Linked DNA regions of Yarrowia lipolytica. The protein of the gene in region 1 purifies or fractionates together with the protein of each later gene. This does not show direct contact. Links are inferred from orthologs where the notes say so. Each region holds a gene or a part of one and is shown in the gene's direction. Other genes may lie near its edges.

Region 1 (7,020 bases):
GGGGTGAGTCTTGTGCGCCTCGTAGATTGAAGGCAGGGTGAGCATCTTGCAGGCTTCGGCGATGGTCTGGCCCAGAGGGTTCTCCACAGCCAGCTCCAGAGGCACTCGTCGGCCCTCGCCCACAGTCTTGTTCTTGTCAAAGTAGACCGGGTAGACTATTTGCCAGTCCTTAAAGTCGGACTCCTGGATCTCCTGGTTCTTGAACTCCTCCGAGTCAAACACCTGTGTACCGGGCTTGCCCTGCTGGCCCATGTTGGGGGGCATACCTCCGCCCTGGTTCATCTGGTCCATCATCTGCTGAAGTTGGGCCATGGGGTTGGCCTGTTGCTGTTGCTCCTGCTGTTGCTCCTGTTGTTTTTTGGCTTGTTCTCGTCGCTCGTGCTCAGCCTTGGAAATCAGGTTGATGGGACCTCGCCCGTCACTCTCCTGATGCGCGGTGGCGTCGGTGAGAACCGCCCGGGGATCGAACTCCGCGGGATCAAAGTCCATGTTGTCCACATCGTCGATTTCTTCCAAGATAGCCATGGTGTGTTGTGGGTGGTGATAACGACGTATCTGTACTAGTGCTTTAAAGTGACAGTATTTACAGCACAGTCTGGCCTCCGTCCCAAATGGTGAAATTTGAAACCTTGATTTCAGTATGAGGTATTCGTAGATCGATGGGGTTGTGAATGTCTAGTGACCAAAACAGGAGACTGAAAGTGAGAACCGGTAATGGGCTTATTCAAAACTTCTTTTTTTCCAGCTATTGTTTATAACGTATGAGAACCCCTCAAGACACAACACATTGTATGAGTTCACTCGATCAACTGATTCATTTGCCTGTTTTGGTTTACCCTAACCCCACGGAGGATGAGAGACTCCAAACCTCCTGTATGAGATCTTTCACATCCGTAGCAAGCTTCGTGTGTTCTGATGAACTTTCTAACATCTCGGATAGCTGTTTCTGTCTATTTTTATGTCTGGTTCTTGCACTATGGGCCTTAGCAGACACGCCAATCCAACGCCCATGCAATCCAATGCTGTGCAACCCAATGCTGTGCTCCTACGCCTGTCGGGGTACTTCTTGTAGCTACAGTATGTACCTATCCTTGACCGCGCCCACAGGCTTCGCGTCTGATGGATTGAAATGATTTTACGCGTCTCATTTTTCATGCATGTAATTTTTTCAATGAAACCAGTCGCACTAACATAGAGCACACAGTGAGCCGCTTTTCTTTGTGTCTGCTCTCCGTCTGTGTGCAAACCAACTACTTGAGCCCTTAGTTGATTTCGAAACTTGTCTGGTCTCAGCTGGATGGGACACATACTACTGTAAGTCCCTCCCAGCTGTCAATGTCCCCAAGTGAAAAGGAATCAACGAGGCTCCACGATTCCGAAACTCCTCCAGTGCTTTTAATATATATCAATATATCAATCCCTCCCTTTCTCCCATTGACATATAACTCGGCCCCAACAGTTATGAGACGGTGGAACCTCCATTCCCAGGAACTTCACCAATAGCTTCGTATCGTTCAGTTATTTGTCCATCTTGTCAAGCAGGATGAGCACAAGACATATCAAAGATTCACGCGGCAAGACAACCCCTTCGTTCAGAGTACTGGTATAGCCATTTGAGAGTGAGAAGGCAGACTACACTAAACAGTTATTTAAACTTGCTTAAACATGCTCCAACGCCAGTTCAATTCACGTCCCATTTTCACATCCTATTCTGAATGAACATGGCGGAGAGAGTAAGCATAAAATAGTCCTGGTATAGCTGCCACGTGGGGGTATGTGAATAATGGTAGCTTCTTTCAAAGGTTTTCTAGTCATTTCCGTATCTTAGTACCCACATTACTTCATTCACCCCCACAACCCCCATTCTACCCTCCGTATGCTCAATCTGCCTTCTCTGTCCACCTGCATAAAGTTCATGCAGGATTTTTTTATCTCCAATATTTTCAAGAAATTTGTTTTGCAGAGAATCGGACACCATAGCACACTACAAGACACGATGGGAACGGTAAAGCGAGATATTCGGATCGCCAACAAGGAGAAGCGAAAGAAGGTGTTCGCGGAAATGAAGCACAAGCTCAATAAGGAGCGACACGAGATGCGAAGGGAACGAGCCAAGGAGGAGGCCAAGAACCCCGAGCTCAAAGAGAAACGTCTGGCTGAGAACGTGCCTGACACCATCGAGGCCAAGCGAGTCTATGATGAGACCATCGCTCAGGAGATGGAGGGAGAGGATGAGTTCAAAGAGTACTTTGAGGAGGGAAAGCCCCCCAAGGTACTGATCACTACCTCTAAGCGAGCTCGAGGACAGGCCTACGACTTTGCAGACCTTTTGTACGACATTATCCCCGGCTCCGAGTTCAAAAAGCGAGTGGGAGACTTCACAATGACGCAGATTGCCAAGATGTGCGCCGAGAGAGACTACACTGATCTGGTGGTGATCAACGAGGACAAAAAGAAGGTGAACGGCCTGACCTTTATTCATCTGCCCGAGGGCCCCACCATGTACTTCTCCGTGTCATCTTTGAAGATGCCTAAGGAGATCAAGGGCCACGGCCGATCAACAACCCACATTCCCGAGCTGATTCTCAACAACTTTTCCACGCGACTGGGTAAGACTGTCGGACGGCTGTTCCAATCCATGTTTCCTCAGCAACCGGAGTTTGTGGGACGTCAGGTGGTGACTCTGCATAACCAGCGAGACTGGATCTTCTTCCGAAGACACAGATACGTGTTCAAGAATGAGGAGCGAGTGGGTCTGCAGGAATTGGGTCCTCAGTTCACCCTGAGACTCAGACGTCTTCAGAGAGGCATTCGAGGAGAGGTGGAATGGGAGCATCGATCGGCCATGGATAAGGATAAGAAGAAGTTCCATTTGTAAGGGAACTGCAAGCACAGCGAGGATCGAACGCTTTCACAGATCGACAAACACTTTTCGACAGTCATACAGACTTAACAAGGCTTCAATCTGATTCGGCAACAACTCGCTGGCTTCATTTGCAGGCGCACGCTTGCATTCTTGTGGTTTAATTGGACTGCAAGGATATAGAAATGTATATTTGGTTAATTATGGAGGATCAGAGAGATGTTGTGTTGTGTAGTAATGTGTCGAGTATGTACAGTATGTACATACGAGTATGTAGTGTACAGTGGAATGGTGTAGGGTTGTGAGGTCTGTGTTGGCGCTCATCAGTGACAAGAGTTGCCTGTGGATGCTACAGAATAGGGGTCATTGTATCTCATGAATAGTCAACAACGCTCCATTTTCACTACAAACTACAGTATGTACTATGACGCTGAGTAATCATCACCACTTGGTATAGCAAGTTGATGTGAACCGCTCTCATTAGCCATGAACAGGTATTATGTCGGGTTAAAGTATTGACTCACGAGAAATTTGACAGTAAATCTACCGGTTCTCATACTATGCCCCTAACCAAATACCAGTACGTGTAGGGAAGTGTCTGTCGGGTAGAACAGTTCTCTTTATGGGAGAGGGAACCTCACCAAATACAATATCTGTACAATATACCCCAATTTAAGTACAGTAATGTACTTGTACTATATCGCAGTTACCATAATATCATGCATTAGTCTATAAATAAATAAAACCTTTCAGTCTTGAGTTTTTGTTGTAGTCTTTCTAGAACAGCAGCAGAACAACCACACTCATGGAAATCGCAGTAGCGGCGGAACCAAACATGGAACCATTGCCGCCCAGGCCACCGTACGTGGTACTGCCCTCGGATTTGTTGCCCCGAGTAGAGTTGGTTCGGTTGCCCTGCAGATTGGGAATCGTGCCTTGAGAGCCCATGGGAGGCTGCACAGGCGAAGCAGGCGAACCGTCGTTGTTGTGAGGAGTGGTAGAAGTGGGTCTGTCAGGAGAGTCGGGGTTTTGGGAGTTAGGAGAATTAGCATCAGGCGAGTTGTTAGGCGAGTTGTTGTTGTCGCCAGAAGTAAAACCACCGCTCGAGCCCGAAAAACCAGTTCCCGAGTCAGAGGAGCCTGATGAGCCAGAAGATCCTGAAGATCCCGATGAGCCTGACGATCCGGAGCCAGAAGAGCCAGAGGAGCCAGAAGAGCCAGAAGATCCCGATGAGCCTGACGATCCGGAGCCAGAAGAGCCAGAAGAGCCAGAAGAGCCAGAGGATCCAGAGGATCCAGAGGATCCAGAAGATCCAGAAGATCCAGAAGATCCAGAAGATACACTAGATCCAGAAGATCCACTAGATCCTCCAGACGATCCTGATGAGGACCCTCCTGAAGAACCACCACTGACGCCACCAGACGATCCACCATCGGTTCCACCACCGCTACCGCCATTTCCACCGTTACCGCCATTTCCACCGTTACCGCCATTTCCACCACCATTTCCACCGCCGCTAGAACCTCCACTGCCAGATCCAGGAGCACCATTACCTCCAGATGAGCCAGACGAGCCAGATCCAGATCCAGGCGTACTGTTACCTGATCCTGTCCCTCCGCTGCCGCTGTTACCCGATCCACCGTTGCCAGAGCCCCCAGAAGAGCCTCCATTACCAGGAGAACCGCCATTGGCGCCAGCAGCACCGGAAGAAGACGGATCGCTGGGATCGTTAGAGGGATCGTTCAAGCTATTGGGGCTATTCGAGTTGTTCGAAGGATCGTTAGAGTTTAATGGATTGTTGGGATCACTGGGATTATTGGCATTGAAAGGATCAGCGCTGTTAGGGTCATTACTGGGACTGTCGGGGCTGTTGGGATCGTTGGGATCGTTACCAGGGTTGCTGGGATCACTCGGGTTGTTAGGATCGTTATTGTTAGGATCACTAGAGTCACCGTTGCCAGAACCGTTGCTAGTGTCGCCGCCATTACTGCCGCTTGTGCTGCCGTCGCCAGATCCATCGCTAGGATTGCCGTTTACATCTCCAGCACCACCAGTAGGAGAAGGGGAGCTATCATCGGAGACAGGGGACTCACCATCTCCGAGAGCCGACACAGGAGAGTCTGTGGGGTTGGCAGTGGGGTTAACACCATTGTCCACGGGAGGAAGAGCAGTGCCATTGTAGGGAATGGACCGGGTTGAAGGCACCAGGTTAGCCGAAGTCTGGGGGATAGAAGATGTGTCCGAAGAAACAGAGGCTGAAGGAGAAGCAGAAGCAGACCGAGATGCAGAGGCTGAAGCAGCTGCGCTCTCAGAAGCAGTGCCTGGATCAGAAGATCCAGACGAAGCACTTGCCGAACTGCTGGACGAAGAAGAGTCAGTAGTAGAGGCAGAAGTGGAGTCAGATGAGACAGAGGAAGACGAACCTGTCGCTGACGAGCCTGAAGTGGCAGATGTACCTGTATAAGTCTCGTCGCTGCTGCTGGATCCTGCAGAGCTGGATACAATCGAGCTGGTCACACTGCTTGAGCTGGACTCTAGCGAAGAAGCACTGGCTGAAGCCGAAGAACTAGATACGCTTGAAGAGTCCGGAGCCGAGAGGCTGGAACCTGGCAAGCTGGACGCACTTGACGAGCTCTGAGAAACACTGTTTGCAGTACTGCTTGGATCGCTGGATGTAGCAGGGGCAGAAGTGGGATCATGGCTTGAGTCTGAGTTGGGACCAGTTGAGGAAGCAGAACTAGAAGCAGGGGCAGAATTTGTGGAAGCGGTTGAAGGGCCATTGCTTGATATGCCACTGTTGGTCTCAGAAGAAGCAGAACTACTGTCTGTAGAGGACACAGAAGCGGAGCCACTTGAGCTAGTGGATGCGACATTAGTGGCCGAAGGTCCCGATGTAGATGCAGATGAGTCCGAACTGCCCGCAGAACTGGAACCCGTGCTGGAGACATCTGAACTAGACACTGGTCTAGCCGACGCTGTGTTAGACACCGAGCTTGATGCATCAGAGGATACAGACGAGCTAGGATCAGAAGACAGAGAGGAGCTGGAGACATCAGGTGTCACAGTTGAGGAAGCTGACAACTCAGAGGTCACGCCAGAAGATGAAACTTCAGAAGTCGAGAGACTTTCAGAAGCAGTTGACTTTGAAGTTCTAGCTGACGATTCTCCAGTACTGGAAGCCGACGTTCCTGCACTAGAGACTGAGGTCTCGGAAGTTGATGAATCAACGGCCGAAGTCTTAGAAGCAGAAGAGCTATCTGTCAGCCCCGAAGAAACATCAGTCTGAGAAGCTGTGAATGAAGACCGGGTGCCAGGAGGAATGACAGCGGTAGTTCTGTCAGTCGTCGAGTTGGAGAAAGAAGTGGTCGAAGAAAGAGATGAAGACGGTCCAGTTGTCACGGCAGAAGAATGCAAGCCGGAAGTTGAGGACGAGTCGACAGTGCTGGGGACGCCAGAACTGGAATCGGTACTAGAGCTCGATATCGAGCTGCTAGGGACGGAGCTGCTGGACACTGAACCAGAGTTAGACACCTGAGAAGAGGTGATGTCCGAAGGAAAAATACCAGATGTGGCATTAGAAGAAGAAACAGAAGCTGAAGAAACTATCGAACCAGAGCCATCAGACGAAGACTTGATGGCTGTAGTATCGACAGTCGAAGAGGTAATAGCTGAGCTGTGACTGGAAGGCACTGCACTCGAGAAATGAGAAGAGGAGGTAGTTACAGGAACAGAACTACTATTGACAGCAACAGTAGACGAAGGCGAAGAAGATGAAGATTCGAATACCGACGACTCAGTGGTGCTGTCAGAGGACACAAAAGCAGTGCTGGAGACGGCAGAGGTGCTGTTAACAGTGGAGCTGATCTGAGATGAAGAAACTGAAATTGTAAGGGAAGAGGTGTGAAAGGACGCAGAAGATCCGGACACAGAAGCGTCAGAAGAAGACGCAACCAACGAAGTCGAAGATGAAGTAGAAAGGCTTGTCTGCGAAACACTGGTAGGCAAGACAGTGCCACAAACTGCCCTACTAACACCTGGACACTGGAGCATGCCCGTGATCTGCCAATTGGGGATAGCAGTGCCGATGTCGGGGAACACCATCTTGCAGAAGATACAGTTGTTGACGTCCGGGACAGAGTCGACAATCGCATCACAAA
Region 2 (8,474 bases), on another chromosome or scaffold:
ACGTCCATACAATCATAAAATGACAGGTCATATGATCACTACCATCTCCTCCGATTCTCGCTTATCCCCCCTCTCTCTTGGACTCGTGTCAACCTCCACCTCTCTGCAATGTTTTTTTCTGTGAGGTCAAAACCTTTCTTTTTTTGATTCCTTAATGGGTCTGCACCCATGAGCACACAAAATATAGAAAGACGCCACCTCACGCTACAGACACCCTGGGAAAACCCGATCGTTGCATTTGATTCAACGGACCCCTGTTGCACTCCAAAGTGGCTCCATTTTCTCTCCAAACCGCCAGACGAACAAACGGCCCGCTATCTCCCCAAGCCACTCCCAAACATTCTCCACAGATATCATGCATGCCACACAAACAGGAAAGAAGGGTTCTCAACAGGGAAACGAGAGCTGAAAGAGAGACGGGTTGTTTCACCGGTGCATTTGACATGTGCACTGCCTCCGAGAAAATCAAGGGCAGGCTAGAACATGACTTGTTGCGGTAAAAGTCGCAGTATTGTGCGAGTATAAAGATCGGATGGAAATTTATACTCGTACCGTGGGAACAATCAGGCTTTGGTTGACTGTACTCGCTCGTACTCGTGCATCTGTCGTACATCTGTCGTACTACCGCAGATCTACGTACAGCCGCGAGAAAGACTGGCAGAGTCTGAGCTAAGAGTGGCAAAAGCGGGATAGAAGTTGTTATCGATCTGACAACCATGTTCACTAGCCGTGCACTCCAGCCCTACTGTACCGCCATAGGAGCTGCTCCCTGGTCTTACCTTGTTGTTTGCTTGAGTAAGCAGTCAGAAGAGCAGTGGCGTCGGTATCGTAACAAGGCTGCCAAGGGGGCAGGAGTGAAGCTTAGGTTGATACGGAGAGATGTACGTAGTGATCTGAGGTGTGAAGTCCTCGCTATCAACACAGACACCGGACGAGACTCGGCTCAAGTGAAGTAGTGGTTGAACAAGTGACTTTGTATGTCCGCAAAGGTGGCATACTATGGTCGTAGCTGCGTGGGGACTTGACATCAGCATCAGACGCATAAACAATCACACCTCAGTCAAAATACTCTCTGGAGACAGTTTGGAGACAAAACATGATTGCAATCTCTGATTTGAGTGGAATGGGCAATTGTGCGAGCACGAGCGCGTTTGAGCCACTTGGAGGGTATTTGCGCAACCCAATGCAGATTTGGAGACAGAACCTGATTCCGTCCTCTGGTTTGACTGTATAGTTTGGGGAGAGTGGTAGGGCGACAGGCAGACGGGATGCAGGCTGTGTGACATCGTCTGTGTCAGTGTATATGTCGCTTTCGTTTGGAGTGAGGTGTGAGAAGAAGAGTTGGGCTAGAGGGCGTTTGGAGTAAAGTGTCAGCGTCAGAATGCACTCACTGTATAAGTGACAAGAGTAATACCGGGTTTGTAAATATAGACCGAATATTGGAAAAGTGATGTGGAAACTGCTGTTGGAATTGCGAGAGGACTGTTGTGCACTTTTCGCCGACTCGATATCTCTAAAACTGGGTGAATTGAAGATCGTTAGGTGACGGTTTACTAAATAACCCCAAGTAAATAATTAAAGTCAAGTAAAGAGTCAAGTAAAAGTCAAGTAAAGTCAAGTAAAAGTCAAGTAAAGTCAAGTAAAGTCAAGTAAAGTCAAAGTAAAGTCAAGTAAAGTCAATTAAAGTCAGTAAAAATAGTTCAAACATTACCACAATAGACAATCACTCATCAATAAATCACTATATACATATATACACTTAATTGGCGCACAAGAAGCACTTCAATAGACTGCCTTGTGGTCAGAAACTGTCGTTCAAACAGTCATATGATGTAGTCGATCGGCTGCTCGCTACAATCAAAGCTCCACGGTGACCGGCTTTGTATCTCTCTTGGGATACCGTCTTTCCTTTTCCCTGTTGAAGAAGTCCTGGTCCTGCTGGTGTCTACTTTTGGGCACCTCGGCGCCGTCTTTCTGCTCTTCGAACGCCTGAGCAATATCTCCAAAAATGTCGTCCGGCAGTTCTCCAGGTACTCCCTGAGGCTGAGGACCTCCAGCAGTAGCGTTTCTGCCCTTTCCGACCTGAACATAATCGGCGTTATCAAACTCGGAAATATGTCTTCCTTCAACTTGAACAAAGCCGGAATCGGCCAGTTTGCTGAGAGCCGGGTCTTCTCGGCCGCCGTCCAGCGAAAAGGTATCTCTGTGTCGTTCTCCCTCGGTCGCAGCGGTCTCCAGAAACTCGTATTCGGGGACACTCACATACTTCAACTTGTCGGCCACTCCGGGAGCCAGATTGTAGTCTCTAGTGATGTCTGTTTCGCCAGCCTTTTGCGACTCGAGAATTCCGGAGATGGTGGCCGGGTTCAGGAGCGTTCGGGGCTTGCTAAAGTCCCCAGACTCGGCCTCAGCGGCCTCATCCAGGGCCTCGCGAGCCTTCAGAGCCTCCAAAACAGGATTGCTCTTGCTGTATTGGACCTCAGACTCGGTCAGTTTGACGGCCCCGAGATCCATGAGCTGCCGCGCGAAATCTCGGTCCCCGCCGTCCCTGACAATGTCCTCGTTCTTGGTCTGCGAAGCCATGGGCATGGGAGCCGGTTGCGACCGATTGGGGTCGGCCGTCTCTTGGCGAATGTGCTGATGTTTGGTTTTCACGGACAGATCGATGGCGCGCTTGCCGGCCTCGGCTGCGGGCTGGAAACGCTTCGCCTTACTTGCGGAAGAGCCCATGGTGGTTGTGGAGGTCGAGGAGGTTGTTGATCAGACTGTGATCTGGACAGTGGTGATCTGGAAATGATGGGAGTGAATGTGTTTGTGGGTTCGATTCGAGGTTGGGGGCATTTTGGAGAATAATGAATACTGTCTGGAATGAGCTGGGAGCAGGCTTAATTTGATCATACTGGTTTGAATAGAGAAACTGTTAATTTATCAGACAAATTTGACCACTATTAGACATTCTATAAGACACGTTTAAGACCGGTGGCGAATGAGAAATCATTGAATCTGCCCAAGCTATAGTAAAACAATATCAAATTGAGAAAATAATGATATGATTGGAATGGTGGCGTTTGTGGTTGACCATTGGTACTAGTTTTAGTCTTAGTTTTTATTGATTTAATCGGACTTTCAGACTAGTTCAAGCAACGATCACTTATTGTCTCCTATGCTCAGAGTCTCTATACAAGCACTTAGCTAGCCATGGGGAAGAGCTACAAGAAAATGGAGTTCACCATTGGATTTCTCTTGATCTAAGCTATCCACTGATTCTATTACTTTTTCTACATTTTCAAAATTACTCATTTTACGAACAGTATGAGGTCTGAATTGAGAATGGGTTTAATGAGCGTTCTAGTTGAGCTGAAACATACTAGAAGATACCAATGGACTCCTCTTCCTTCCAGAAATCCATTTCAACCACCCGTTTTTCCTCAATATCTCTTGCGATGTCCATTTTCGCCAACTAAGCAACTGTTCAGGTGGTTGCACGTCTATCTCGGGTTCTACCGGGTCAAAATTTGATTAAGAAAATACACTTAGACTGTTTCATGTTGTATCTATTCTTTCAAATGGTTCAATTTCTCGCTCTCTTCAAGTTCGCATGTTGCAAGTAATGTCGTGCTCAAACTCGAACTGACGAGGTTTCGATTTTTCTTGAAAATATATATATATATATATTTAAAGTTATCCTCTAATTTTTTTTCCAAACCTTATCTCAATAAATTCTACCTGGAATCTATCCCTATCTCACAGCCTACTACATACCACACTTCAGCACGAAAATGTCCGACAGTGAGGTTGAATACGACATTGCGGGGTCTTTGAATCCGGGGGTGGATTCGGAAGACGACTATTCGTCCGGATCAGAGTCCGACAGCGAGATTCCCGACATTATTGAGGACAGTGAAGATGAGACCGGGCCCCAGCAGGGCGAACCGGGCACCATGACTTTCCCCAATCTGGAACTGTCCGATGACGATGACGACGACGACGATGACGACGAGGGCAGAAAGAAGAAGAAGAAAAAGACGGACGACTCGGTGGAAAGCTACTTTGGAGCACCGCAAACGGGCAAAAAAAGCTCGGGCAGTTTTGCTGGTCTGGGTTTGTCGCAGTTGGTGCTTAAAAATATTGCACGAAAGGGGTTCAAGCAGCCGACGCCGATCCAGCGAAAGACGATTCCGCTGGTTCTGGAGGGCAAAGACGTGGTGGGAATGGCCCGAACCGGAAGTGGCAAGACAGCGGCGTTTGTGCTGCCCATGTTGGAGAAGCTCAAGGTCCACAGCGCCAAGGTGGGCGCGCGGGCGGTGATTCTGTCGCCGTCACGTGAGCTAGCGCTGCAGACGCTCAAGGTGGTCAAGGACTTTTCTGCCGGCACCGATCTGCGTCTGGCCATGTTGGTTGGAGGCGATTCGCTGGAGGAGCAGTTCAAAATGATGATGTCCAATCCAGACATTATTATCGCCACCCCAGGCCGGTTTCTGCATCTCAAGGTGGAGATGGAGCTGTCGTTGGCGTCGGTGGAGTACATTTGTTTCGACGAGGCCGACCGGCTGTTCGAGCTGGGTTTTGGTGAGCAGATGAACGAGCTGTTAGCGTCGTTGCCCAGCAACAGACAGACTCTGCTGTTTTCCGCCACGCTTCCCAAGACGCTGGTGGAGTTTGCCAAGGCTGGTCTTCACGACCCGATTCTGGTTCGTCTGGATGCCGAGACCAAGTTGCCAGAGCATTTGGAAATGACGTTTTTTGCCGTCAAGGAGAACCAGCGAGACGCCTGCTTGGCCTTCATTCTCAAGGAGGTGATCCAGATGCCGTTTGCAACGCCGGAGCAGCTCAAAGAGCTCGAGCGACTGGATGAACGGGCCATTGACGACGGAGAACGGGATGAGGACCGGAAACAAAAACGGCCCAAGTTCAAGAAAGAACGGCTGCCCCCTGCGCACCAATTGCCCTCGGAAAAGTCGACCATCGTCTTCTGTCCCACCAAGCATCATGTGGAGTATGTCATTGTCTTGCTTCAAACTCTGGGGTACGCGGTTTCGTACATTTACGGCACGTTGGACCAGCATGCTCGTAAGAACCAGCTGTATCGGTTCCGCACGGGCAAAACGTCTATCTTGGTGGTCACTGATGTGGCTGCGCGAGGTATTGATGTGCCTGTTCTGGCCAATGTTATCAATTATTCGCTTCCTCCGTCCCCCAAGGTGTTTATCCATCGTGTGGGTCGAACAGCTCGAGCCGGCAACCGCGGATGGGCTTATTCCATCATCAAGGACAACGACATTCCGTATCTGTTGGATCTGGAGGTGTTTTTGGGCCGCAAGCTACTGACTCCTCGGTTGTTCAAGCAACAGAATCCCGACCCTTCGGCCGAGCCCGATTACGTCAACACTCTGACAATTGGAGCTCCTCCGCGCCAGGCGCTCGAAATCCACGGCGAGGAGCTCGCCCAGATGGTCAAGGACTCGTACGAGCTGCAGCAGCTGTCGGAGGTTGCGGTCAAGGGCGAGCGAATGTACAACAAGACCAAGGGAAGTGCTTCTCAGGAGTCGGCCAAGCGGTCAAAGCAGATTATGGCACTGGGATGGGACGACCATCATCTCATGTTTGGCGAGGATGGCGAGTCTGCCAAGGACGCGTTGTTGGCACGATTGGGCCAGAAGCGCATTCGAGAAACGGTGTTTGAGTTCCGCAAGAGCAAAACCACCTCTGGCGCCGAGATGATGGCCACTCGTCGGGCCCAGCTGGCTCCGATCCAGCGCCGGGCCGCGGAAAAGCGTGCCATTCAGGAAAAGGAGCGGCTGGCGGGTCTGGTTCATTCGCAGGATGCGGAGATTGCCCGGTCTACCGAGGAAGATATGGCTACCGAGGCGGATCTCACCGGGTTCACTACGGAGGAGGATCTTCGGGCGGCCAAGAAGGCGCAAAAGTCCAAGAAGCGCTCCTTCAGAGACTCGGAGAACTTCATGTCCCACTACGCACCCACCAACGACGATAAGGGCTATGCTGTGGGCAACTTTGCCGGGGCTGCGTCCAATGCCACGTTTGATCTCATCAACGACGGCTCGGAAATGCAGCAGAAACAGGGCATGAAGTGGGACAAGAAGAAGGGTAAGTTCATCAACGCGGGCTCGGAGGGTGGCAAGAAGTTCATTCGAGGTGAGGGAGGCCAGCGAATCGCCGCGTCGTTCCGGTCGGGCCGATTCGATAAGTGGAAGGCCGCCCACAAGGTCGGCAATCTCAAGGTTGGCGCTCTGGAGGAGTCTGGGCCTGCCACTAAGCGGGTTTTGTCTGCGCGAGAGTTCAAACACAACAAAAACGAAGCCCCCAAACGAGCCGACAAGTACCGAGACGATTTCCACAAGCAAAAGACCAAGGTCGCCGCTGCCAAGGAAGACGGACGAATCCAGAAACCCCAGCCCAAGAGCGAGCTCAAGTCCACCGCCGATGTTCGAAAGAGCCGAATCCTGGCCGAGAAGCGCAAGCAGAAGAATGCCCGGCCGAGTCGGGGTGGCAGGGGTGGAGGTCGTGGAGGTCGTGGAGGAGGTCGTGGAGGGCGTTAAGAGGAGTCTTCGGAGGATTGGGGTTGATCGAGGAGGTCGCTGGTTAGGTGGTTTTTTGTTTGGTCACGTGAAAAGTCACGTGGGTCTTCTGGAGGGCGTCGTTTAGTGACTCTTTTGGGGACTTCTATGATGAGTGTTTGACCTCACATGTCCTCATGCTCGCAGTTGATCTCACATGTACATCTGACACCACCACCACCACCAACCACCAATCTCGACTCGCCGAAGTTTCTACACACTCTTGAAGAACAAACCCACCCATCTACTACCATGTCACGAGAACATTTTGTTTCGTCTCCGTTCCATCTCCTCATCACGAGACTGGAATATTTCCGAGCCACGGCCCATTGCACTATAGAAAATAAAACTAGAATATCACGTTTATAAAAAAAACCCAGAATTGTTCTCAAGTAATTCCCAACAAATGACCAAGTAACGTTGACTTCGATAGGATAAGAAATGCTCCACAACTCGAGATTTTGTATGATAAAAATTACCAGAAATATCATTTTTGTCATCAAATCCTTCATTATCTATCGTCTGGTATCCTTTTTGTGGCTTCAGCATCTCTGGAACACCAAATTACATACATACCCCCAGTGCACTTCAACTATTTCTCAACTATTTCCCAACTATTCCAAACCTGATTCCATACTGACTTGAACTCCTGCGTGTCCAAATCCATGATATAGCTGCGCGTGCTAAGTTTCGACTCTCGACCGCACGTCATTTCTCCTCCAGTAAAAATAAGTCTCCGGCAACGTGATATTCGCCTTGGTGGGACAACGCGGAAAAAGAGGAAAAAAGAGAAAAAATTAGCAAAAAAGAGAAAAAGCCGGTGCACGAAAATGAATCACGTGATTGGGTAATCGCTGGTGTTATAAGGTGACACTCTCTAAAGGCTGTACTTTTAGTTCTATATTTTTTTGTTTGTATTTTATATTTTATATTTTATATTTTTTTTATATTTTATTATTTTATATTTCTACTTCTATTCAGCCGTCTTGTTATGTTCTTTTTGTAGATCCAACTTTACAGTCAGGAGAACCATTCCCAGCACGTGTTGAAGGAGAAATTGGTGGTCTTTTTGAGCCTTGGGTCTTTTTTGGGTCTTTTTTGGGTCTTTTTCGAGTCTTTTGGGGGTATTTTGGGGGCCATACTTCGGTCTTTTTTTGGGCCATTTTTCGGTAACTTCTTGTCCCCTTGGCAATATAAAATTGCCCAATTACGTTTTTACTCATCTGAAACGTCGCGTGAAGAGTTGCACGAAGAAATTCTTCTGGTATGGGGTTGTTTTTTTTTTTTTCCTTTTTTTTTTTTTTTTTCTACGGCGGTGTTGGAGGAATAAATTTTGTAATGAATAAAAAAAAATTATATATATATATAAAAACTCATAGACAATCACACCCTCGCTTAGCGGAAAATACGACCGTGTTCCCCCGCCGGGGGCTCCATTTTGAGACCCCAAACGCCCTCATAGACCCACTTGTGGCCCCTGTGAAGACGCCTGCAAGTAGTCCCAAAAATGAACCAAAACAACATCGAGGAGATTTGGGAAGGCAGTAGACAGAGCAAGGAAGGTTGGAGGTGATCGGGAAAAATCGAAAATAAATACTACTGACTCCAGAGACGTTATTTGCGCTGTTAAAATATACCTGTTTCTACTAAGTCAGATTCTACAGTTGTTTTTTTCTCGCCATCGCCCAATTCAAATAAACTTAACCCGCGGTTCAGGACACGCTTGGAACATGCCACAAATCGGCCGGCCAGGCCCCAGAAGTCACGTGACACGTTGGCGGGGCAAATGTGTGTGTTTTTGTTTTTGTTTTTGTTTTTTTCGTTCTGATTTCAGCCATTTTCCCCTTCTTTCCCGATTTTCCCCTTCTTTCCCAATTTTCGCTCAATTGAATCGTC
Region 3 (6,519 bases), on another chromosome or scaffold:
GTAGAGCGAGGCAAGTACGATTGGGACCAGTTCAAGCGAGCCGTCAACAAGGCACTTGTTCGACTGCCCAGCCAAAGCCCTCCTCCCGACGAGTTGTCCCAGAGCCCCGCCTTCTCCAAGGTGCTGCAGAATGCCATCAAGTACAAGCAGCGACAAAAGGACGAGTACGTGGGCCAGGACCACATTCTCATGGCCCTTCTCGATGACTCCTCTATTGAGAGCATTCTCAAGGAGTGCGGTATTAAGAAGGACGTCATGGAGGCCAACATCACAGCCGTGCGAGGAAAGCGACGAATTGACTCGCGAACCGCTGACGGAGCCGACGAGTTCGAGTTCCTCAACAAGTATGCCATTGACATGACCAAACAGGCTCGAGAGGGTAAGATTGACCCTGTCATTGGCCGAGAGGAGGAGATCCGACGATGTATCCGAGTGCTGGCACGACGAACCAAGTCCAACCCTTGTCTGATTGGTGATCCCGGTGTGGGTAAGACCTCAATTGTCGAGGGTGTCGCGCAGCGAATCATCGACGGCGATGTCCCCAACGTTCTGGCTAACTGCCAGCTCTTCTCTCTCGATCTGGGAGCTCTCAAGGCTGGTGCCAAGTACCAGGGAGACTTTGAGGAGCGAATCAAGGGTGTTCTCAAGGAGATTGAGGACTCCAAGGACATGATCATCCTGTTCATCGATGAGATCCATATGCTCATGGGTGATGGAAAGGGTGATGCTGCCAACCTGCTCAAGCCCATGCTTGCTCGAGGTTCCCTCCACTGTATCGGTGCCACCACCAACGAAGAGTACCGAAAGCACGTTGAGAAGGATGCCGCCTTTGAGCGACGATTCCAGAAGATCGACGTGCGAGAGCCTACTATTCGAGAGACCGTCGCCATTCTGCGAGGTATCCAGAACAAGTACGAGCTGCATCACGGAGTCCGAATTCTGGACTCTGCCCTGGTTTCTGCTGCTCAGCTGGCTTCCCGATACCTCACCTACCGAAAGCTGCCCGATTCGGCCGTCGATCTGGTCGATGAGGCTGCAGCCGCTGTTGCTGTTGCTCGAGACTCTCGACCCGAGCATCTGGACTCCCTGGAGCGAGAGCTTGATCTGCTCATGATCGAGGTCAAGGCTCTGGAGCGAGACCAGCACGCCGACCAGGGTACCAAGGAGCGTCTTGATGCCGCGAAGCACCGAGTGGCTGACATTGAGGAGGAGCTCGGACCTCTGCGAGAGACCTTTGAGCGAGAGCGAGCAGGTCACGTTGAGCTTAACAACCTCAAGCACAAGGTTGATGAGCTCGAGACCAAGGCTCTCGACGCCGAGCGACGACGAGACACTTCCACTGCTGCTGATCTGCGATACTTTGCCATTCCGGATCTGAAGAAGCGAATTGTTGAGCTTGAAGAGGAGAATGCCGCTAAGGAGAAGTCCATGATCAAGGACGTTGTTGGCGCCGACCAGGTAGCTGAGACTGCGGCTCGACTGACTGGTATCCCTGTCACCAAGCTGACCCAGGCCGAGAACACCAAGCTCATCAACATGGAGAAGGTGCTTTCTCGAGAAGTTGTTGGCCAACCCGAGGCTGTCAAGGCCGTTTCCAACGCGATCAGACTGTCTCGATCGGGTCTTGCCAACCCCAACGCCCCCGCTTCTTTCCTTTTCCTTGGTCTCTCCGGTTCCGGTAAGACTGAGCTTGCCAAGAAGCTGGCAGGTTTCCTGTTTGCTGACGAGCAGGCCATGATCCGAATCGACTGTTCCGAGCTCATGGACAAGCACTCCGGCTCCAAGCTGATTGGTGCTGCTCCCGGATACGTTGGATACGAGGAGGGTGGTATTCTTACCGAGGCCCTGATCCGAAAGCCCTACTCCGTTGTGTTGTTCGATGAGGTTGAGAAGGCTGCTCCCGAGGTGCTCACTGTTCTTCTGCAGGTTCTTGATGATGGTCGAGTGCGATCTTCCGCCGGAAAGGTGGTCAACGCATCCAACTGTATCATTATCATGACTTCCAACCTGGGTGCGGAGTTCATCAACCGATCGACCTCGACTACCATTGACCAGTCCACTCGAGACCTGGTCATGGAGGCTGTCAAGGGCCACTTCCGACCCGAGTTTCTCAACCGAATCACCGCTATGGTTGTCTTCAACCGGCTGTCTAAGAAGTCCATTCGACGAATCATCAACATTCGTCTCCATGAGATTTCGAAGCGATTCGAGCACAACAACCGAAACCTCAAACTTCATCTCGATGAGGACGCCATGGACTACCTGGTGGAGAACGGTTACAGCCCCGACCTCGGTGCTCGACCTCTCAACCGACTCATCCAGAACGAGGTTCTCAACAAGCTTGCTGTCATGCTTCTGAAGCACCAGATTAAGGACGGCGAGGAGGTCCGAATCATCCGAGGAGACAAGGGTCTGGAGATTCTGCCCAACCATGACGGCGAGACGGACATGGAGCTGGCTGAAGATTCCTACGATGACTTTGACGACGAGATGGATCTCGACTAAGGTATTTTTTGCTAGGAGGTAGCTAAATATTGTATAAAATAATGAATTAACTGTATAAATGGATCGCTGTATCTCTACAGTAGTGTGTACAGTAACACGAACTGTGGTGGGTAATGATAGAAGAAATGAGAGTAAAACCGAATATTCTGAAAGGGACATTTCGCCCCACCCTTGGTCTGCTTACTAACTGAGTCAATCTCCGATCACAGTCTGAGCCAATGGAGGTATTACAATATATTCCGTAGTAAGTCGATATTCAATTCAAGTATGAGTCCACAAACAGTCGGACTATCTTGTTGTTACATGAATACGATCCGCCACCATACGTACCAAACAGCCTGCCGCAAGACACACACACAATCTACACATATATCGCCACCGGCCCATCACAGTTGCATACTGTCTGCACGTATGACATGACAAGAACTACACGTTGACGAGATCAGTCACAGTATACTCCAGCACGCAGCTGAGCTGCACGGTCATGAAAAAATTGTGCTGCAATGCAAAACATAAAGATAGGCAGTATCCACCGCAAGCCTGAATAACCACACTTCACCCCTTATTCAAAAAAATCAATCAACATAATGGCTACCCGTGCCCAGTTTGAAAACTCTGACGAGATTGGTGTCTTTTCCAAGCTCACCAACTCCTACTGTCTGGTGGCTGTTGGCGGCTCCGAGAACTTCTACAGCTCTTTCGAGGCCGAGCTCCAAGATACCATTCCTATTGTCTACTCCACCATTGGCGGCACCCGACTCGTGGGCCGTCTCACAGCCGGCAACCGACGAGGTCTGCTTGTGCCCTCCACCACTTCGGATGTTGAGCTGCAGCACCTGCGAAACTCCCTGCCCGACGAGGTCAAGATCCAGCGAGTTGAGGAGCGTCTATCTGCTCTTGGAAACGTCATCTGTACCAACGACTACGCCGCTCTTGTGCATCCCGATATCGAGCGAGAGACCGAAGAGCTGATTGCCGATGTGCTTGGTGTTGAGGTCTTCCGACAGACTGTTGCTGGAAATGTGCTTGTCGGCTCTTACTGTGCCCTGTCCAACCAGGGAGGTATTGTCCACCCCCAGACCTCCATTGAGGACCAGGATGAGCTTTCTTCGCTTCTCCAGGTCCCCCTGATTGCTGGATCCGTCAACCGAGGTTCTCCTGTTGTCGGCGCTGGCTGTGTTGTCAACGACTGGATGGCCGTTGCTGGTTACGCCACCACCTCTTTCGAGCTTACTGTCATGAGCAGTATATTCAAGCTCAACAACGACCAGCAGGGCGAGCAGTGGGAGCAGACCAAGTGGTCCCAGCTGTACCAGCAGATGGGTTAAGCACAGCCAGTCTGCTTCTCCTCGTCAACACACTGGTGTGCTGGCTGCAGTGCGAGCTCTACTCAACAGCGAGCATCGCTTAAACTATTATGCATTATGTATTTGGCATGGCCTGACTTCAAAATATGGGTGTGTCTCCAACGGATCAGTATTCCTTTGCATGGCACTATTCGCAGTTTTAATTAGATAGATAATACAAGCTGCCAAGGTGGGATTGTGTACCTGTACCGGTACTTGTAATGAGAGTAGGGTGTGGTATGACAGTGTACTATAACGAATGTCTTTGTAATTGTCTTCCTCCGATGTACTTCAGTGGTCACACACTGCTTATGGAAATAACGTAAGACGTTCCTTAGAAACACGCGCTTGAAGTCACCTCTGTACAGTAGTTTTCTTACATTAAGAAAATCCCACGTTGAAAAATGCTCCAAGCTTCAGCCACTAATGATAAATACTACTGTAGATGAGTTGTATCGTGAAGTCATGAGATCAGTGATTGTTGAAATGTACATGAGAAATCCAAGTAAAGCGGTCAAGCTTGTTGACTTGACCAACTGGGGCGTGTGTCTGTGTACTACAGCAGTAACAGTTCAGCATTCTCCTAAATAACCCTGGCTAATCCTGACTAACCCTGAAATTGTACGACTTCACCACAGTATGTACTGTAGGCCACGATAAGCTGTTCTGGTGCTACACCAAAACTGACAAATATTGGTGCGAAATTCTAGGCGACAACCAAGGCAATTTTTGTATTCTGGCGCTCTATTATAATCCAACTCACGACCCTCACCCCATAAGTAAATATTCGTACTCGTGCTGTACAATTACAGTAACTACTTGTAGTTGAAAATCAACTCACAGTACTACAAAATAGCTTACTAATGTACCCCCTCACTGGGTAATAAAAATACCCAGTACGATAGGTGGAATGACGTAATGTTTCATCCATGTTACACGTTAGAAGTTTCTCTATTGCTGCTAATGTTCAAGCTGAGAACTCATATATTTTTTCAAACCCTCTTCAATCGTTATCTCTTGGCAGATACCCGAGAACGGCATTATTATCTACTCGTCATGTAACTCTTCGCCGCAAGACTACAGTATTGAGTGTGGTTGTGGTTTTGAGCCGTTGGTGGGACAATGGTTTTTTCTTGCTAGTGCATCTGCAACATCACATGATTGGGGTAAGTAGAACCTTGTGGGGATGATGTAAAGATAGAGCAGTGTGTGGTGACAGGGTCTTGTTTATTTTTTTTTCGGCAAAGCAGTGTTGGATACAACCACTATACAAGTCACTCACACCTTGACATCGCATCCTCCCGCCCCTGCTTTAGCTCCCCTTCCGTGTCCACCAACAAAGCTAAACACATTCCCAAGGTTTGTGGGACACATATTACACCTAATTCAAGAAGTGCAGTCTGGCCCACACCAAGGTACACTCACTACAACCTGTCCATCACCACCCATGTCGTACCACGGTGGGCAGCACCCTCCGCCACCCATGGCGCACCCTCCGCATCACCAGAGCCACAACCAGCAGGCTCCCACAGGCTCGTCAAGACGTCTGTCTGCTCAGACCCCCATGGCCCGCAACTCGACTGCCATGAACTCCATTGAGTCCAGCGTCACCCATCTGCTGGTAGCAACCAAACAGCTGCTTGAGAGCCTCACGCAATGGGCCCGCGGAGCAGCCTCTGAACAGGACGTGTCCGACATCTACGTCAATCTGGGCAACGAGTTCAACATTGCCTGTCGAGCGTTTCTCAACGCCGGCTTGCCCGTCACTGACATGGGCGATGTGCCCCAGGCGCTGCGGACGGTGCTAGAAAAGGCGCTAAGCGAAGAAGCATCGCAGGAAAACCTCGATCTGTACCTGCCCAGCATTCGGGAAATCATCATCAACCTGCTTCAGGGTCTGAAGAAGAAACAGGCTGCACTTAGAGCAGCTCAAGGAGCACAGGCGCAACAGATCCCACCTCAACAATCACCCAAAAATTTCCGACCACACCCGCCCCAGCATCAATACGGACCCTCCAGACAGGTCTCAGCACCCACCTCTCTGCCACAGCACAAGGATGATAGAGACCATGTGCGACGGTCTCAAACTATAGGCTCAGCACCTAAGCAGCCAGGATTACCCAGTCCACCGGTGGCCCGACAACCGCCGCAGCCACCGCATATGGCCCCACCAGCTCACATGCCTCCTGGCATACCTGGAGCTATGGCTCAAGCCATGGCCCCTGCCATTCCCCAGGGCTCTCCGACCAGACGCCCGGGATCACGTGGAGACCCTCTGGCAGCTTTACAACGAGGAGAGGCGCTCGAAAGACGAGCATCCAGACGATTCTCGGCTTACCAATACGCCAAACTTACCTCTGGAGCACCTGGAAAGGCCGTTCCAGACATGCCCATGTTGCCATCGACTCCTCTTCCCGACGAGAGTGATTTAGGCGATGTGTCTACGGCTACAGATGTTGGAGGACCTGGAATGTCTTTGTTTCTTAGACTTGGAAATGCTACCAAAAAGGTCAAGGCTGACTCGGATGTCAACATCAACGCTCTGAGACTCCTATTCATCTCCACATTCAACTACTCTCCTGGAGCAGACGATTTCCCCAACATTTACATTCGTGACAAAAAATCTGGAGTGGAGTATGAGCTGGAAGAGTCGCATCTGAGCGATATC
Region 4 (7,145 bases), on another chromosome or scaffold:
ACTCGTAAACCTGTGGGAGCCACAGCACCAGCAGAAGAAGAAAGCAGACCGACGTCGCTCGCAGACTCCAGATACGATGAATTCTCATTCACTGAGGAGAATGAGCACCAGAACAACAACAACAACAAACACAACGAGTACGGAAACTATGTGGCGGACTCTAATACCAACCAGCAGTCACTGGCAACAACGTGGGAAGACGAGCAGACCAATCACTACGAAGACAATCATGAAGCCGATCCCGCGCAGAAAATCAGCCACTCGCTGGGCCACGCAGAGCAACATAGACCCATGGGTAACTTCCGAACGAGCCACTTGGGCAGCCTAGACGCCCGAATGGAGACTCATTGGGAGACCCCCGGAGAAGACAGAGATAGCGCTCTTCTGGAGCCCCCTCAGATGCCTGAAGCTAATGTCAACTCTAGGGGAGGCTCTTCTTACTACGCAGATAGTCCTCATTTGGAATCGCCCAACGTTGGCTCTTTGCATTTGGATATCCCTTACTTAGACGAAGAAACTAAGGAAGACCAAGACAGCAACAAAATGTCGACTTCTTCAGACCACACTGCCAGCCCCGGCACTGCGGGTACAGCCACAGCCCATTCCAGACAAATGTCCAAAAACTCAGACATTCTGAACTACTATCTGGACGATGAACTGCAAGTGGCTGAGGAGGAGGACGCTGAGGAACGAGAAGCTGCCAAGCTTGCCGCTGAAGAGGACGCTGCTCGTCTCAAGGAGGCTCGAAAGTCGAGAGGTAACATTTTCGAAAAACTGCTCGACTTCAGTTCTTTCAACGGTCGATCTACCATGGGTCAGACTACTTCCACACAGGGAGCGCTACCAGTGCCTGACCTGCAGGTTTCTAATCCCGGAGACCCTAAGTCGGATGATTCTGGAGGTGCTGCCTTTGAGTGCACTCCCGTGACCTACCTGAGTCCTGGACCTGAGTCGCCCTCCGATTCGCCTAACAAGAAAAGATTCAACATCCCATCTCCTTTGAAGATGGACGGCAAGCCTAATGCCCGCACGTCTCTGGCCACCGCATTCATGCCCTTGACTCCTTCTTCCATTGCGCCGTCTATCCCTTGGCGGTCGTCTTCTCTGCCCACTCCGCTGGAGCCTCTTCCTGAAGCCATGATTCTGAGTCCTGCTCGACACGGAGGCTCTTCACACGATGCCTCGCCTAGAGCTCATTCCGTTTCGGGCACGTCTGCCACGTCTGGTGGACCCACAGTTTCTGGAACAACCACCCCTGGCCAGTACACCATTTCGCCTCCCTTGGCTATCGACAATGAAGTGGCCTCTTTCCAGCAGCCCACGGAAATCAACTACTTCACAACCCCCAAGGTGAATTTCACTTCTCCTGCCATGAGCGATCTGGATGCCGAGATTCGGTACTATCTGGCCACTCGCCCTGCATCAACGGCTAGAAAACTGCCCAAGAAGAAGCCTGCTCCCCATTCGTCATCGCCTACTTCAGATAGTAATCAGTCCACGCCAAAGGCCTCTGGAGCTGCCACTCCTCGCCCCGCGTTTGCTCCTCCAGCAATGTTCCAGACAGAGGCTCATGACTTCCAGCACGACAACCAGCTGCATCCTCAGCTGACGCAAATTCGAAACCTCGCACAGACCCAGCAGGTCCATGCCATGCATCAGCTGCTGCCCCAGTACCAGGGTATGGCTCAGGTCCCCAGCCAGGCTTCTCTGCAGCAGCATTATCCTGTGCAGCAGCAACATCATCCTGGTGTCCCTCAGACCCCGAAGCCCATGTCCATTCTTGAACAGATGGCTGCCCAGCAACAGGCTGCTCGAATGACCCCCATGACTCAGAGTAACTTCTACGTGAGCCCCATTCAGCCCTTATCTCCTGTTCAACGACAGATGGCCCAGACTCCTCAGATGTCTCTTCTGGAGCAGCTCCAGGCTGCCGGTCGACAGACCCCCCAAGTACACTACTCACCCGTTCTGTCTCCTGTTCAGCAGCACACTCCTGTTGGTAGCATGACTCCTGTTCAGGGCCAATACACTCCTCAACAGGTGGCTCAGTATCAGCTGATGGAGCAGCTCAGCCAGCTTCAGCAGCAGCAGGCTTCTCAGGCCCAGAATACCCAGCACTACCAGGTATCCCAGGCTCAGGCGCAAGCTATTGCCCAGCAGCAAGCTGCCGCCCAGTATCAGGCCGCTGCCCAATATCAGGCTGCCGCCCAGTATCAGTATCAGCAGATGGCTGCTCTTGAACAGCAGCTCGTTGCTCAACAACAGGCCCAACTTCAGGCTCAGGCTCAAGCGCAGGCCCAGGCCCGAGCACAGGCCCAGGCTCAGGCCCAGGCTCAGACCCAGGCTCAGTATGTTGCTGAGCAGCAGGCCCAGCAGCAGGCCCAGCAGCAGGCCCAGCAGCAACTCGCAGCCCAACAGCAGGCTCAGCAGCAGGCCCTGTTGCAGCAGCACCAGAACCAACAGCTTTCGCAGTTGCAGCAGTTGTCACAACTGGAGCAGCTCCATATGCAGCAGCAGGAGCAGATGGCTAAGATGGCTGCCTCGCAACTCACCCCCACATCCATGTCGCCTTCTCAAATGTCGGTGGCTTCCTTCCCCGACCTGGGAGTTCCTCATCCGGCCATGTCCCGAAAGGCGTCGGAGTCCTCACTCAATTCCGCCTCTTCGTCAACTGAGAACAACTCGTTGAACGACCTGTTCAACCAGATCACTCAGCAGGCATCCAATACTTCTTATTCATCGGCCCAACAGAGTCTCCTGGGTCATCGATCCACCCATTCCGGTGTCTCTGGCATTTTCCACCCCCGTCAGGCCAAGGGAAGAAGCCCCGTTGAGAAGACCGGTTTCCCCATCGGACACTCTCCTAGCACTTCCGTCAACTCAGCTAATAATTCTTTTTAGGAGTATCTAACTTATTATCATTATGTATTATGCCCATGTCTTGTAGACTTGCCTTGTTTATACATGAGCCATATACTTGTAGAAACCAGCCATGGGGGGCACAAAGCCTGTAATATCCTATCGCATATGTGCCATTCGTGCTTGTTCCCATCAATAAGAAAGTTGACAGTCACAGGGAACAGCGAGGACAGCGTCTGTCTCAGATGGTGTTCGGAGTGGCCCATCTGTCAAGCTGACTTCATGACAACAAATATGTCAAGTACAAGTAAGGTAATACTCGTTAATTTGTACAATTATCGACTTATTTAAGAAGTTCTTTCCTGCTCAACGGGTGAAGAAAAGTGTTCAAAAGTAAATCATCTTGGTGGCAATTCAGAAAGCTGCCCCCCTCCTCCCCCCGTGTAATTCAACAATAATCGGAGTCACCATTTTCTCTTTGTATCACAGCCCCCTCTACTTATTCGCTTCGCTCAAGACCGACTGCAGAAACTCTAAAAAAATTCATGCACGCAGTCTGACAACATCGTATCTCGAGCAAAGTCTGGGAATCACATTACAGTACACAATGAAGATTTTTCTGGCCGCCGAAGATACTGGAGCAATCAAAGAAGTTGTTTTTGACGAGGGAATGGACACCTCGGTCCAGGACGGACCTCAGCCCCTCATCACATCCTTCGCTGCTCTTGGTAAACTGAAGCACATTCAAAAGCTGGCCCTGGTCACCACATCAAAGGGCACCAAATACATTGCTGCCGCGCGAAAGAACGGTACCATTGAAGTCTACCCATACCTTTTGACCGAGGAGTCGACTCCGATTTTCGTCTACTCTGCTGAGGGGGCAGAAAAATGTCCCTGGATTGGTCTTACCCAGTATGACGACAATACTGTGGTTGCCGGTCTGGAAGATGGTCGACTCTTTTTCCTCGATGTTTCGAAGGTCACCATTGAGTCCGACAAGCCATACGACGCCCCCACTGCCTCTGTCAAGGGCCCCTTGGCATGCTTCGCTCTGGACAGGGAGCTGTATCCTGGCAAGATTGCCGTGGGTGGAAAGGAGCGAGATTTGGAGGTGTTTGGATGGGCTGTTAAAGGTGACGAAGTCACCGTGAGATCCGAGTTTCAGGCCCGAAATGTCAAGTCCAACGAAATCGATATGCGGGTGCCGGTGTGGATTTCTGGAATTCTTTTCCAGGCTTCTGACAAGGATGGATTCAGAGTCATCACTGCCACCAGACATGGACAGATCAGAGTGTATGAGACATGGCATGGAAAGCGACCGAAGTGGGACTTCAAGGTGACAAAGGATCCTCTGCGAACCTTGGCACCCGGTATGGATGCCTCCAACGTCGTCTCTTCAGATGCCCACTCCTCTACGTTCAAGTTCAACTTTGCAGACAATGAGAAGATTGTACTGAAAAACAAAGACAACAACCAGAACAAGGAACACAACAGAAAGTCTCCCTGTGTCGTCGAGAAGTTCCCCGGATCTCTCGGTGCCGTTTTGCATTTAGTTACCACCGACAATGGTTTGTTGGCTACCGTTGGTCTTGACCGATACCTTCGAATTTTTGATCTCGAGACCACCGAGTGCACTGCAAAGATGTTCGTGGGTACCCAAGTGTCCTCTCTGCTTTTCGTGGATACCGAGCGAAAGACAGCCCAGGAAAAGCATGTGGAGGAAACAGCTGAGAAGGAGGATGACGAGCTGTGGAACGATCTAGACAAGGTCGAGAAGAAGAGCAACAAGAGAAGGGTCGCTGGCAACGACGAGGGCAAGAAGAAGCTCAAGTCGGCGTAGATGTAATTAATGTATTATAAGATTTAGAAGCAGTGTCTTCAGAACCAGAACAACCAAAAGGAAGTGCAGTAAGAGCGAATTTCATAAAGATAGAATATGGTCACAACCATCGAGACTCAGAGAGCGTGGGTATTGTACATCATAGCAGGTCTGGTATCTTACATGTGGCAAATCTAAAACTGTCTTCCAGGGAGTTTTGCGATGGGAATCAAACGATGAAACATATTCATCGTGTCATTTGTGTCACCAAACATGTCAGAGAACGGATGTGTCAGCACTACTCGCACATCACTAGCACTTTTACAGTAATTAGTAGTGTACCCAATAGTATATACTTTAATTTACAGTATCTGTACCGCCGTAGTTGGTTTATGAACGTACTGTAGTTGTAACGCACACAGACTCAACTGACCATTCTGCAAGCTCGGGCTGACGTTGAAGAATATCCCCTGTTTGTCTCACATTTTAATATCTTCGCTCTCGAAACTGTATGTGAGTTTGATGTACGTAGTCTCAGGATGTGCCACATTCCTATAATTATACCGTAATTTAGCTCTTCTCATTCCAAGTGTTGTTGTTGTAATTTGATTCATGGCCGTAGCTGTAATATCGTGGGAGTCCAGTGACCCCTACTTGTAGCGCAACGCTACACAATGATTACAGCAGTGTTGCAGCTGAAATGCAGGTGTACAGTGTGCTGTATAGAGTGGCATGTGGACCACCCAGCCCCCTATATAGTAGTAAAGAAGGGGACATAGAAGCAAAGGGGTGAAGGCTCATGTGAGTAGATAAAACCCTGAGATGTAAAAAATTATGCGAATCTCCTTCAGCGCCCCAAAAATATATAACACTACTTGTAAGGGCCTGTTGCAGCCCCAATAAACTCTCTTATCTCACGGCCACATGCATCGTGTGCTTGTTTGGGAATTGTAATAATAATGGTCCGAAGTTTAACCAGACTAACAGGATCAAAGCGGAGGAGCATGGCAGGGATTTTCGACACATCACATCGACAGAAACACATTGCGCTGGTTCACAAAAAGGGCACGCTACAGATATTGAACACGCAACTGAAAGACAGACACACACTACTGATCCCTGACAACACTACAACTTCACACGGCCACACCATCGCACATGTACACAGTGCCACCACAATACCACGGGTATGGGGACCCAAACCCATCGCCACACCTAGCCAATGCCGACCAACTGATGGACAATGTGTTTGTGGGTGCTCCTCAGCCGAAGGGTATGCAAAAGGTGCTCAAAAGGGTGAACAAGACTGTGCATAAGATGGGCAAGCGAGATCCAGGCTCAGGGACGGACGACTCGGACTTTGAGTATCAGCACGTGGAGGATGACCATGAGGTAAAGAGGGCCGAGCGAGGCAAAAAGACTAGGGCCAAAAGCAATTCCAAGAAACCGGCCTCTTCTCTGGGAATCGGGGATCTCTTACCTACTGAAGAAAACAACGCTTCCCCTGAAAAGTCGCCCAATAAGAAGATTACGAAGACGAAAAAGAAGAAGAGCAGCTCGCGCAAATTTCAGTCCGATCCTCTCATGTACCAACACGACTCGTTGGCTGTCGACGAAGAAGACCCAGCATCTCGACCACCCCTACCACCTCCCCACAATCCTTACATGCTGTATCCGACACATGTTCCTTTTGGTTCTCACCAAACCCCCTATGATTATTACTTCATGCAGCGTGAGATGCAACGACAGAATGCGGACTACTGGAGAGACTTCCAGTTAACCCAGGCTCATCAGCAACCCCAACAGCAGCGTAGAAAGAAGGACAATAACTTCGCCTACATTTCACCCGGAGACAATGCCTATTATACCAGTCCGGAAGAACACCAACGCAAGCAGTACGAGAAGATGATGGGACAGCAACGCCAGCCGGGAAGCTGGGATGGAATAATAGACCCTACTCAGGACCAGGAGTTCGGGTTCCGGTCCAACTACAACCCGTGGTTTGGAGCACCCATGGGGCATGCTTTGGGGGGAGTGCCCATGCAACATCCAGAACCTCCTAGAAATGATCCTAGTGAACGAGAAAGAGGTTTAGAGGAAGAGACATCTACCCAGGTAACTGTTGAAACAGGCTACACAGAAATAACTGGCTCTAGTGGCTCTGGGTCGGGTACTGGCTCATCTGACTCGGCGGGGTCTGAACATCGTTCAGCTACTTCTCAGGCAACCAAAAGAAACTTGTTTCCCAACTTTGGAGCCTTCATTCCCCCGCCAAGTCATGATGAAAAGGTCTCTCGATTCTCAGCCAAGAACATCTTTGGTAAACGTACCGTCAGTGGGTCTCGAGAATCGTTGGCGTCAAGGGGAGATACCGAGTCGTCTGTGTCCCGTGACTCTGGTTCACACGACTCTGGTTCACGAGTGTCGGCCTCATCCTCCCGCCATCCACTCCCTGTCCCTTCTTCTC

Evidence for each region.
Region 2: the proteins of YALI1_F28453g (region 1) and YALI1_D32424g purify together in Saccharomyces cerevisiae (affinity purification with mass spectrometry; 4 studies listed by BioGRID, with this or other methods). This does not show direct contact. The link is inferred for Yarrowia lipolytica from reciprocal best matches to the Saccharomyces cerevisiae genes RPF1 and DBP10.
Region 3: the proteins of YALI1_F28453g (region 1) and YALI1_E33024g purify together in Saccharomyces cerevisiae (affinity purification with mass spectrometry; 5 studies listed by BioGRID, with this or other methods). This does not show direct contact. The link is inferred for Yarrowia lipolytica from reciprocal best matches to the Saccharomyces cerevisiae genes RPF1 and TIF6.
Region 4: the proteins of YALI1_F28453g (region 1) and YALI1_B21714g purify together in Saccharomyces cerevisiae (affinity purification with mass spectrometry; 8 studies listed by BioGRID, with this or other methods). This does not show direct contact. The link is inferred for Yarrowia lipolytica from reciprocal best matches to the Saccharomyces cerevisiae genes RPF1 and NSA1.

The regions. Positions count from the first base shown.
Region 1 is NC_090775.1:2,840,240-2,847,259, reverse strand, and holds YALI1_F28453g (uncharacterized protein), read left to right. Parts: upstream 1-1,876; coding exon 1,877-2,878; downstream 2,879-7,020. Other genes in the region: YALI1_F28467g (uncharacterized protein), read right to left, coding at 1-525; YALI1_F28459g (uncharacterized protein), read right to left, coding at 925-1,308; YALI1_F28393g (uncharacterized protein), read right to left, coding at 3,641-7,020. UniProt on the Saccharomyces cerevisiae protein: Essential protein. Required for biogenesis of the 60S ribosomal subunit.
Region 2 is NC_090773.1:3,237,678-3,246,151, reverse strand, and holds YALI1_D32424g (uncharacterized protein), read left to right. Parts: upstream 1-3,779; coding exon 3,780-6,560; downstream 6,561-8,474. Other genes in the region: YALI1_D32462g (uncharacterized protein), read right to left, coding at 1-31; YALI1_D32455g (uncharacterized protein), read right to left, coding at 200-718; YALI1_D32435g (uncharacterized protein), read right to left, coding at 1,858-2,730. UniProt on the Saccharomyces cerevisiae protein: ATP-binding RNA helicase involved in the biogenesis of 60S ribosomal subunits and is required for the normal formation of 25S and 5.8S rRNAs.
Region 3 is NC_090774.1:3,298,965-3,305,483, reverse strand, and holds YALI1_E33024g (uncharacterized protein), read left to right. Parts: upstream 1-3,092; coding exon 3,093-3,833; downstream 3,834-6,519. Other genes in the region: YALI1_E33056g (uncharacterized protein), read left to right, coding at 1-2,505; YALI1_E33002g (uncharacterized protein), read left to right, coding at 5,299-6,519. UniProt on the Saccharomyces cerevisiae protein: Binds to the 60S ribosomal subunit and prevents its association with the 40S ribosomal subunit to form the 80S initiation complex in the cytoplasm. Is also involved in ribosome biogenesis.
Region 4 is NC_090771.1:2,167,943-2,175,087, forward strand, and holds YALI1_B21714g (uncharacterized protein), read left to right. Parts: upstream 1-3,466; coding exon 3,467-4,699; downstream 4,700-7,145. Other genes in the region: YALI1_B21675g (uncharacterized protein), read left to right, coding at 1-2,901; YALI1_B21737g (uncharacterized protein), read left to right, coding at 5,837-7,145. UniProt on the Saccharomyces cerevisiae protein: Involved in the biogenesis of the 60S ribosomal subunit.